Caenorhabditis elegans: one gene and its partners. The protein of the gene in region 3 interacts with the protein of the main gene of each other region in a pairwise test. Each region holds a gene or a part of one and is shown on either strand. Other genes may lie near its edges. The genes, in order: picc-1, ifa-4 and pac-1.

The links.
Region 1: the proteins of pac-1 (region 3) and picc-1 interact in binary tests that used the Caenorhabditis elegans proteins (3 or more experiments, as listed by UniProt).
Region 2: the proteins of pac-1 (region 3) and ifa-4 interact in binary tests that used the Caenorhabditis elegans proteins (3 or more experiments, as listed by UniProt).

The regions. Positions count from the first base shown.
Region 1 is NC_003283.11:6,017,232-6,020,987, reverse strand, and holds the start of picc-1 (PAC-1 interacting and coiled-coil domain-containing protein 1), read right to left. Parts: upstream 1,995-3,756; 5' UTR 1,983-1,994; coding exon 1,958-1,982; intron 1-1,957. Other genes in the region: aps-1 (AP complex subunit sigma), read right to left, coding at 2,238-2,529, 2,784-2,887, 2,936-3,013; rpt-2 (putative 26S proteasome regulatory subunit 4), read left to right, coding at 3,320-3,482, 3,529-3,749. UniProt on the Caenorhabditis elegans protein: Linker protein which helps to recruit the Rho GTPase-activating protein, pac-1, to adherens junctions.
Region 2 is NC_003284.9:4,914,177-4,917,932, forward strand, and holds the start of ifa-4 (Intermediate filament protein ifa-4), read right to left. Parts: upstream 1,804-3,756; 5' UTR 1,801-1,803; coding exon 1,710-1,800; intron 1,194-1,709; coding exon 910-1,193; intron 854-909; coding exon 569-853; intron 526-568; coding exon 430-525; intron 385-429; coding exon 271-384; intron 223-270; coding exon 49-222; intron 1-48.
Region 3 is NC_003281.10:8,493,102-8,496,857, forward strand, and holds the start of pac-1 (GTPase-activating protein pac-1), read left to right. Parts: upstream 1-2,008; coding exon 2,009-2,161; intron 2,162-2,996; coding exon 2,997-3,144; intron 3,145-3,756. UniProt on the Caenorhabditis elegans protein: GTPase-activating protein for members of the Rho subfamily including Rac1, RhoA and cdc42 and other Ras-related subfamilies including let-60.

The DNA of each region.
Region 1 (3,756 bases), on a different chromosome or scaffold from region 3:
ACAATGAAAATAATAGGTAGGATTGGAGACCAAGTAGACGTACTAATTTGTATTGAATCTAAAACTTTAGTCGGAACAAACTAGACGTGAGATTTTTGAAGCGGTCAAACTTTCGGTGTCATGGTAAAATGGTTAAGCTAAATGCTTTTTCTAGTTTTCCAATTTAATGGCATATCTGTAGTTAATAAGAACGTTGCATCAAATTTATAGACGTAGAACAGAAGGTATGCCACCACCTGTACCTCATGTTACGTGACACAAATTAAAGATGACTATGTGGTACAGTACCAGTTTCGTGGAATGGCTTCCTGTGAAAACTGTCAGATACGATTTACCACAAAAGTGGGAGGCATTTGTGTAGAATTGGGATTGACTTTGAGTAAATGAAAATGGATAGTCTCGTTCGATTTAGGTGTCGAAGTTAATGCCCCGAATGAAAGAGGAAAAGGTGGATTAGACGATACTTTCATGAGGAACAACAGACAAAAAAAGACAGTGTAAAAACTGAAAGAAAAAGAGATGGTATCTCGATAAAGGTTCCCACACAACTAATCTGATCTTATAGATACATAGAGAGAGGATTACGTCTATTTTATTCAGCGCAATATTGTGTGCACAATAACGTTGCAGAAGAACACATATGACGATAAATAATTGACGTTGGTTAATAGACGTATTCTGACTAGGAAATGAGGGCACCGTCACGTTTCCGGGAAGTATATGCAATAGGAAGACTGTTTCAGTCTGTTCGCACCTTTTACTGGTTGCACCATCTGGGCAGCTGTGTAGCAAAATTAAGTGTCTAATCTGTTTTTAGAGTATTGATAGGTGTGAAAACTTCCAAAAAACTAAAAAAAAAAGGTTACGATTTTGAACTGGAATTATAGTAATTGCAAATATGCTTGGTTCTGTCATCAATTGCAAAATAAAGGTTTGCCAGTAAGAGTACGACCTCAAATTGCAAGTCGTTTGGCGGGAAACAAGAAGTGAACACGGCAGGGTGCCAACATTCACACTTTCGTCGCAACTTGCGAGAACAAAACCTGGTTTAGTTCTGCGTACCCACAAAAACCAATTACTTGTACATTGCTATTAGGAAAAACTATTATCGATTTTCAACATGTGATTATTTTTAATGCACCACGTAAAGCTAATTTAAATCTACCAAGTGAAAAATGGAGTTCCGTTGAATTATATACATTTATTGTTATTACTTGAAATCGTTCTTTCCTAAAGTTAAAAGCAACTGGGAAGCGTTATTTCGAACCAACTCTTTGGCTGATTTTCAAGACTGAAAAAAATAGCGAGGTTTGTTTATGATTTCTAGGGTCTCATGGACTGCGAATATTGAAAATGCGAATACTTATTCAAATAATGTGATGCGTACTTCTGCTTTCTGCCAAGATTTTAGATCAAAAATTAACTACGACTCAAAAACTAGGTGAAAGAACAAGTGTGTGCTGGAGCAAATTGATGGATACTTGAGAGAATGAGTGAATCCGCGCGGAAACATTTCCCGCTGTCTCCGCCTTCACTGCCCTTGTTCAATGTAAAACCAAAAACAATGCAAAGTATAGTGGATGGGAAGAGGAAGAAGTATTGGGCAGAAAACATGAAGAGGACACAAACATCTACTGTACGAAAATGATTAAACTTTGAGAAAACGGAAGTGATCGAAACAATTTTGACTAGTTTAATCATACTTATCGAAATTTCAGATAAATGATATTTTGAAATTCGACACCAACAAGAAGGTGAACATTGTGCTTTGTAATCTAACAAATGACAATTCCGGCAGAGGTGCCAATCATTCCTACATTCATTCCGTTCGAACTGACATGTTACACTGCCAACGTTCGCATATTACCCCCCGTTGAATTATCCTTGAATCCACCTTTCCCCTGTTCGTGTTTTACACTCATGTGCGGGAAACTCGGCAAAATTCACATTAGCTCACCTCGTCTCGGAGTTGTGATAATCATCCGCTTCGAAACCTGAGAAAGTTCAAAACTTTAAAGAAAAAATTGAAAAAAGTGTAGAAATAATGCAAGTCATGCATTGAAGTTTCCTAACAGAAAGAATACATAATGGAAGATTGAAAAATGAATGTTTTCTTCTCTTATTCACATGAATATTATCACAACCAGACACATAGCCAGGATAAATAAAGTAAGGTGGAAGTATTTGGTATTTACGGAAGCTTTCAAAGTCAATAAATTATGTTACTATTATCTTCATTATCCCAAACCGTGATCCTCGAAGAATCCTTGTGGAGTTTCTTCTTCTTGAATGAGATCTTGGGCAGCAATCGCCTTCAAAACTTGTTTTTTACTGGTTTCCTGGATTTCACCAGCCAGTAAAAATTCGTCGAGTATGAAGTAAGCTTTTTCGAAGTTGAAGATGATATCCAGCTCACAAACACTTCCAAAATATTTGTCGAGGAGTTCTACGTAACGATGAATGACTTCCAAAGTGATGAGCTCGTTGTCGTTTTGTTCGATGGCGCAGCAGAAATACAGAGACGCGTATCTGAAATTGTTGAGATTAAAAATTGAACGAATTGTTAAGTTTTTGTTTCATTTATCACAAAAATGTCTATTAAACAACTAAATTTGACGCCAAAATATTTTTCATGAATAAAAAACGTAATAACTTCGGATTTAGGTGTGTAACTATAATTTTCAAGAAATTTTGATTATAAACTTGTAAGTTATTTTCAGAAGGAACAATTTTAAGGCATGACAGGAAATGGGAGTTGTTACTTTTGAATATAAAATACGAACCGTTTGTAGACAACTTTCAAATCCTTGTATTCGAGGAACGCACACATTTTCGGTTTTCTCGCCAGAATTTGAGTGATGAGTTCGCGGCAAATTTTCTTCTTTTGCTGAAAATTGAGTGTGAAATTACACATATGAATAGGAAATACACTTACCTTGTCGGGGTAAGCAGTGTACCATTTCTGCAGCCGCAGTTTGCCCTGGCGACTGAAGAGAAGCATGTATTGCATCATGTTTACTGAAAACAAGAGTATGAACAATCGTTTGCAAACTTTAAAACGCTGAAAATACTTAAAAATCAATTGAAAAATTAGATTTTCTGAATAAAACAGACATGTGGCTTCGTCAATAAAAACAACGAAGCTCCGAAAATACGAAACCGCGCGTTGTTTAGTTCTCACCAGAGCGCGCTTGCATTGTCATCATCAACGCTGTATTTTTTTAAATCATTCTTCGTTCTACTTATTTTATATCTTTCAATTGTTTTCTTTTTCAAACGTGGACTTATTATTTTTCATATAAAATCATTATTTTCTAGAATGGGGCAACAACAGTCAGGTTTCGGTGGAAGAGGAAATGACCGCGGTGCCGGAGATGGAGAGAAGAAGGAAAAGAAGAAATATGAGGCACCGATTCCATCTAGGATTGGAAAGAAGAAGAAGGGGTCTAAGGGACCTGACGCCGCTAGCAAACTTCCAGCTGGTAAGTTTCAATCTAGTGTGTATTTTAACTGATGATTCGGTTTTAGTCACACCACATGCCAGATGCCGTCTGAAGTTGCTGAAGAGCGAAAGAATCAAGGATTATTTGTTGATGGAGCAAGAATTCATTCAAAACCAGGAGCGTTTGAAGCCACAAGAGGAGAGACAAGAAGAAGAGCGCGCCAAGGTGGACGAGCTCCGTGGAACACCAATGGCAGTCGGATCACTTGAGGAAATTATCGATGATCAGCACGCCATTGTTTCAACTGTAAGAA
Region 2 (3,756 bases), on a different chromosome or scaffold from region 3:
TGAAATGTTGACAAATAATATCAGATGTATATAGTCATCAAAACGAACTCTTCCTTCTAGATCCGCCATCTTTCCACGCATATCACCAAGTGTTGTGCGGAGTCTCTTAACTTCCTCGCGAGCATAATTCTGCTCCAAGCAGTTGCGAGAATTTTGAGTGTGAATTTCTTGAACCTTCAGCTTGTACCAAGACTCGATGTCAGTACGGGTAGTGTTGCTCACCTGTAATTCAAGTCTCTATTTTTTACCTCTTTTAATGACTTTTCTCACATGATCATATTCGCTTCTGATCTCACGAATAGCAGAGGATAACTCATTCTTGAAATATTCGCGGTTTTCCACCGTAGTATCACGAGATGCCATAGCGAGAAGATCGTGGATTTCCTGAAAAAGACACTCGTTGAAAGCTGTACTAATTGTTTTTCATACCGAATCATGAATTCTGCGAATGAAATCACACTCCTCCAGTAGTGTCTGCACTTGATTTTGATAATCGATGCGGTTCAGAGTTTCTTGTTCCACAGCCTGAAAGCTGTACATATAAATTAAGTTTTCTACTGAAACTTACATTTCTGGCATGATGAAGTGAGTCGATCATACGATGATTTTCGCGCTTCAAATGACCGATGCTTTCTTCCATCAGAGAAATTCTTCTTTTCAATAGCTCAATCTCGGCTTCCAATGCTCCAAGTCTTCCGAGCACATTGTCAAGCTCTTTACGTGTAACGTCAGCACCTCTTTCAGCCTCATGAAGTTTGTTTCTATAGTTGTTCAGCTCTTCAACAAGTTTCTTAATTTGATCTTCTAGCTGAGCTCTTTCTTTGTCAGAATCGGCGATCAGGTCTTTCGCACTCTGAACAGAATTTAAAGTTTCTCAGATTTTGCTGTATATAATATTCATTCACTTACTCTGAGCTCAGTCTCATACATAACTTTAACACTTGTAGAATCGTGTCCCCATTTTCCACGGAGCAAATTCAAGTCCTTCTCCATCTTGCGATTTTGAGCCTCCAAGAATCGAACTTTCTCAATGTAGCTCGCCAGGCGGTCATTGAGTTCACTCATTTCTTTTTTCTCGCGAGTACGAGATTCACGAATGGCAGAGGCGGCATGGCCTCCGAATGGAGACATGCCTGATGTTAGATTAGATCCACCGATCTCTGTGATCTTGAGTGTGCGGCTAGTTCCAGAAGCTGAAATTTGAATTTTTGGAAGTCAGTTTTTGTAGTTTGAAGTAGTTTTTAAACGTGTATCAGAACTGAAAAATAACACTTGACAAACATGACCATAAAACAAAAAAAATTTGTAGGTTTTCCAGAGGAATCAATTCATTAATGTTAATAATTTTTTAACACTTTTTAAATTTTTATTTTTAACTTTACAGTCAAAAAAGTTCACTTAATCATTTTTCACCAATCATAATTTTGGTAGTGAGACAATAAAACATTCCACAAGTTTTTTCTTTTAATTGAATTTTAATTGATTTTATTTGTACATTTTGAAAGTTCAGATCAGCAAAAATGTTCAAAACTTCTCAAAAGGTCAGGGTTGTTGTTTGAACGTTTGGCATATTGCCAATTGAATATTGTAAAACATAAATTAAAACATTTGGAGGGTTTAATTTTAATATAAATCATATAATACATCATATAATACAATTTTAAAGACAAAGTACTGCTCATATTCAAAATATTCATCTGAAAACTCACAAATAGTACTTCCATAGGTGGCGGTGGATTGCATTGTTCTGTTAAACGTTGGTCGAACCGAAATTGAGCTTCGGTATTCGCTCTCCGACATTTCCTACAAACATGGAAACTTAAATAGTTTTCAATTAATTGCATTTTCATAATCGAAAATTAAAAAAAAAACACAGCGAACTATTTTTCGATGAAAAAGTGTAGAAAAGTTACCTCATAGTAAATGACGTTATACATATGTGACAAGAATATGAGTGAATATGACACAGATTAGAGATGGATCGTTTGTAGGACACAATGACAATGCGCGAGATCTATTAGCTGTTTCGAGAGCCCTAACTCTTGACAGAACAAAAAACCGTGTTACAAATTGGCGCGCGCACTATTTATTTTGACGGGACTTGGCATGCGTGGAAAGAGGATGCCTAGGAGGGTTTACTCCTAATTGTCTGTATAGTCAAATTATAGAAGGAAAAAACCAGGCATGAAACAGAAAATGAAACAGAAACTAAAAACTGGGAGAGTGTAACGGTTCATCGAGCTATTGACGAACGCGCACTGACCGCTATTCAAAAGCGGACGGCGGTGGCGACGGCGATTCGGTGACCGATTACTAGATGCTAGCTGCCGTCATGGCGTGTTTATACACAATGCTACTGTTTCACAACGTTTCCATATTCATGAGTATTAAAGGATCGTAAACACCTTATATTATTCTGAATTGTTTTGGTTGTGAAGGGATGACAAAAGATAAGCACGTCAAAACTAAAATCGAAAAATGGAAAAATTTTTAGTATGCGATAAGGGGAGGATAATGGGAATACAAATTGACAAAAATAAGTTCAGAGCATCGAAACTGCGTGTTCTAAAATTTAGGTGAAATGTTTACGACTTGTTAAAAATTCAATGTTCAAAAGGGTCTTAATCTATAATTCTGAAATTTATTTGATTGTGTCTATCTCAGAAACTATTAGCGTTGGGAAAAAGTTCAATAAATAAAATTTAGCTGATTATATTGTCTACAGGTTCAGATTGTTTCAAATCTGCACCCCGCGATCTCGTTCTTAGATAAATCGGCCGACATCTTACAAGTCAGCCTTTGATTATGGTTCGTGATTTACTTGTACAGCCAAAATAACAATTATTAATGAAATTGTTTGTATACAAGTTCATTTTAAAACTGCCAAAAAATTGAAGTTAAACATTTAAAATAAAAACAACACTGAAAAAAAAACTCACGGCAAACGGTCTTCTTTAAAACGGAATTTAAAATTAAAACTTCCCTTAAAATTCAAATCTACATAAAATGTTCTGAAACATAATGCTAAGATGTCTGTTGATTAATGAAACTTATGATTTGTATAAAATAAATTGCATTATCATCAGGAAAAGAGTCATTTTTTCAGTACATGCGAACTTTATTAATTAAGAAACTAGAAAAAAAAACAAACTTTCCTTTTTTGTTTTTAAGTATTATACTAACGTTTAAAAGGAAGGTTGCATTGGAAAAATAGAACCAGTGTCATTTTTAAAAAAGCTCAGTTACAGTACTCCCTTTTAAGGAGACCGTGTCGGACAAACAAACCGTAGGTGTTGCCTGAAATATATATGCAAAATAACACGGAGGCGGAGCTGTTGCCTTCATGTACACAAACGAAACTCGGCCTGTAAAATCAGGGAGAGAAGAAAAAATGGGCGAAAAGGGCGGATTGATAGCGGGTATCAAAACAAACATTTGCATTTTGAGAGTCTCTTTTTAAACATTTTTTTACTTTTTTGCTTTACAATTGCGGGAGGGGGAGGTAGGGAAATAACATATTTGTTGGGTAGTGCATATGAGTCAAAAATTGCACGCAGGTGAAATAGTAAAAATTGAATTTTGGTGAGATTTAAATGAAAATTAAACTAACAACACACGTATTACTAATTCAACAACGTTTATTTGAAATGGAAATTATTTCTTAATGCGTCTTTAGCTTTTAATTGGTATTTTCTACTTACACTGGCAATTTTGCAATTTTTGTAAAATGAGCAACGCCACATCGCAAACTATCCG
Region 3 (3,756 bases):
ACCATGCCAATTTCATCGCATCGCAGTGTTCCTAGTCATTTTCGATGTGGTAGTTTCGTTTTGATCGGTCCAATTTAGTCTCTTATTTTCCTACTTACCAGTCACAATACTACCGACATCCCCATCGTCGCCACAATCGGTTACATAATAATTATCGTTCGCAATCGGGCGCCACTGCCGCCACACATTCACTCACAGACAGTATACTGTTGGGCACTGATGCTTGTTAGTGTGGTACACGACGACGACAACCATAGATAATTCGCTCATTCATCAGAATCTGAGGACGAGATGAGGGCCACGATGATGATGACAAGCGTGTCAAGGTGAACTCGCGTAGTCTTTCCGTCCGTGTTTGCCTCGTTTTCGCGCGCGCACCCCTTCTTCACTGGCGCACCTGGCTTGTGTCCTTTTCATCGAATCGCTGTCCTCTAGATGTCGTTAGTCTCGTTCCTTATTTCATTTAACGTTCAAGGTTCCTAATATTCTCCATAATTTGTAATTCGAAAAACGCTTCGAATTCTCTCATTATCAAAATTTACGATATCAGCTCATGTGCTTTGTAAATTAGTTTCAATCCGCCCAAGATTCATTTCTATTATTGTCATAAAATGATTTTATTTGGTTTTGTTCTGAAAATTCTGAGACATTCTTGATCCACTCATTAAGATCTGAGAATCTTCCGTGCGAGATTTGAAACTTTTTGAATAATCTTTCGTCTATCATCTCTCTAAATATCTACATCTGGATGGCACATCCGGGTGTAAAACTATAAGATGCCAATCGACAATGATGAGGGAGAAACAAAAAAAGAAAGGAGGATTTACTTTTGTTTTCTTTTCGAACATCTGCTTTTGTCCGCGTTTTTTTTCATCCTCTTTCCATTTCCCTGCCAAGTGGGAACAAGTTTTTTGTTGAAAACTTCTTCCTCTCCCCCCTCCTCATTTCCCTCCTTGTCATTTCATTCATTTTCCTCGACAAATTCCATATTGGTTTTGTATAATGATACTTTTAAATTTCTCGAATGTGAATTTTTAAGCATATGCATCCCAGCCTAGAAGTGCCCTGATTTGAATTTTATGAGCTGAGCATGAAGAATATCTGCATCCTCACCTCTGCCGTATAATGTGTGCCAGCCCACGCCTGCACAAATTTTATTGGTCGTTATTTTACGCCGTTGCAATGAAGGTATATCGGTACACCTCAACTACGCACTTTTTGATGCTCAACGGATTATTTGAATTTCAAACTAAGTGAAATCGCTATAGCATTTACATTTATAATGCATTTTGTATTCACAGCGTACCGTTTTGCTATTTACTCAAATAGATTCTTTTCAAAATTCATAAAAGTGGATTGATTGCTCTAAATCGTCTAGTTTAAAAATTTTTTCATTGTATTTTTAAATAAAAATGTAGAAAAATATTATTAAGAAAATACTATCACAGTTTGTTCAAACAATTTATTTTTGATCAACCTCGTCATTCGAACTTCAGCAGGTAGATCAAAAGTAAATTATATGAAAAACCTTGATTGTATCGAAATTTGTAGCATAATGATTAAAGTTTCGTGATTCCTTGCCGTAACCTTTTCGTAGTCAGAACGCGCCAGACAAACCTTCGAATTATCAGAAGCTCAAAAATATATGTTTTTGGTTTATCATGGAACGAAAATATTTCTAATTGGATTCTGGGTTCAATTGCTACTGCTCCGAGGTCATTTCTTTGTGAACATGCATAATATATTTCCTTTGTTTCCCATTCCTCTGCTACACTTTCTCCATTTCCTCCAAAAATTTTGGACGATGCTTTTCGGATCGCTTTTCTTTTGCTTTCTCAAGAATATTTATTGCTTATAAAATTGTTGTTCCTCAAAACTCTATATTACTCTCTTCTAACAAAAAATACAATTTTCAGATAATAATAGTGTGCGTCAGACGGCACACGACGTCAAACACGTCAAACATAACGAACAACAGAAGAAACAAGGAAAGAAGAGTTTCGGCTCGATGGAGGAGCACCATCGACGGCTCCATGTCAAGGCGGAGCGTGCGTCGGTGATAGGAGGAGACATTGTCGACGGAGCATTCGGCAGTTGGGCTCTTCGAGCAGCACGTAGTGAGCATCAACTTAAGCAGCAGAGTAACGAAGATTTAGCTCAGGTTGGTGGAATAAATTACATTTTGTTCAAATTAAATATTTTTGTTGAGAAAAGAAATACAACAGAATTGAAATAATTATTAGCAAGGTTCGAGAAATCTAGAAAAAAAATCGAAAATTAAAAAGCGAAAATTTTCCAATTTTTTGTAGCAAATTAACAATAAAATTAAATTAAAAAAAAAATACTTTGTGCATGTTGATTTAAAAAAAATCATGCAATTTTCTTTAAAACAAAGGGAAAATGACCAAAATATTGAGCTATTTTTCGAGATATAAGAAAAAAATTTTTTCGATTTTAGTAAGAATCGAAAAAACGACATCCTTGTTTGGAATATCGTATTAAAAAGATTTACCAAAAATGCTAATAACTATTTCGAGCTCTGTTAAATTAATTCTGACAATTTTACTTTTTACAGACGTTTAGCTGACGCTACTCGTAGAATTAACTGTAAAATGTAAGAAACAGAAAATGGAAAAAAAATTCCTGATTCCATTAGCGTTCTATTCTGAAAGCTATTTAAGTAAAATTGGTAGTAGAAAAAGCAGAATGATTAACCATTTTCTCCTTTTTTCGCCATAAAGAATTGGATTCAGTGCAGTCAGAATCACGGCTTTTCTCCTCGTTTGCATCTTTCATAAAATCGGCTCCGCGCTTTCCTGCTTCTTTCCGATTACCCATTTTCTTTTATCCGATTTTATGTGCTGTACGATGAGAAAAGCCGAAATTGGTGAAAAATAAATACGGAATACGGTAGCTTGATAAATTTCAATTGTCCCGCCCCGTTCTCTAGTATTCTTTTTCTTTTCGTTGGAACAGTAAATTATTTGTAATTTCAGAATGCTCGAATCTCGGCATTGCTCGGTGAGATGCGTCCAAGAATGTCAGCGATGCCACCAAATGGACATCAACAGCAATATCAGCCACAGTTGAGAAGAAAAGCAAATACGACAAATATTGTGGATGTATCATCACAAGTTCCATCAGGTAAGGAATATTTATTACTCAGATGCAAAATTTTTCTATTTTCGCTCCAAAAAAATACGGTACACCGTCTCAAAGTTTCCGATGTTCTTGAAAGCAAGCGAGTGTGCGCCTTTGAGGAGTACTGTAGTTCCCAAGTATTTTTTGTTGCGAGATATTTTCGAATGTTTCATAAGTGTAAATCTTTAAAATTATTGAAAAATATGTCAACATATATTTTTTAAAATTCATAAAATCTTGAAGAAAAAAATCAGCAAAACATAATTTCTACACGTGTTTTTTGTCGAAGAAATTTAATTTTTTTCCTTACTAACCAAAGGTGCCATCGAATTTTTTTCAGAGCCGATCAAAAACGAACAATCGAATAAAAAATGTTTAGAAGATTAACAATAAAATTCAATTTTTAAAATCAATTTTTGTTTTTTTGTTTGTAAATAAAAAAGAACAATTTTATTTTTAATATTTTTTTTTGAAATATCGGTTTGAATTTAAAAAAAAAACTGCAATTATTCGATTTTTCTTAAAATCAGAAATCAATTTTTTCGATGATTGTGAAAAGTCGACACCCTTGCGCCCAAAGAAGAATCCTGAGATTTTCATATTTCATTCTGAGAA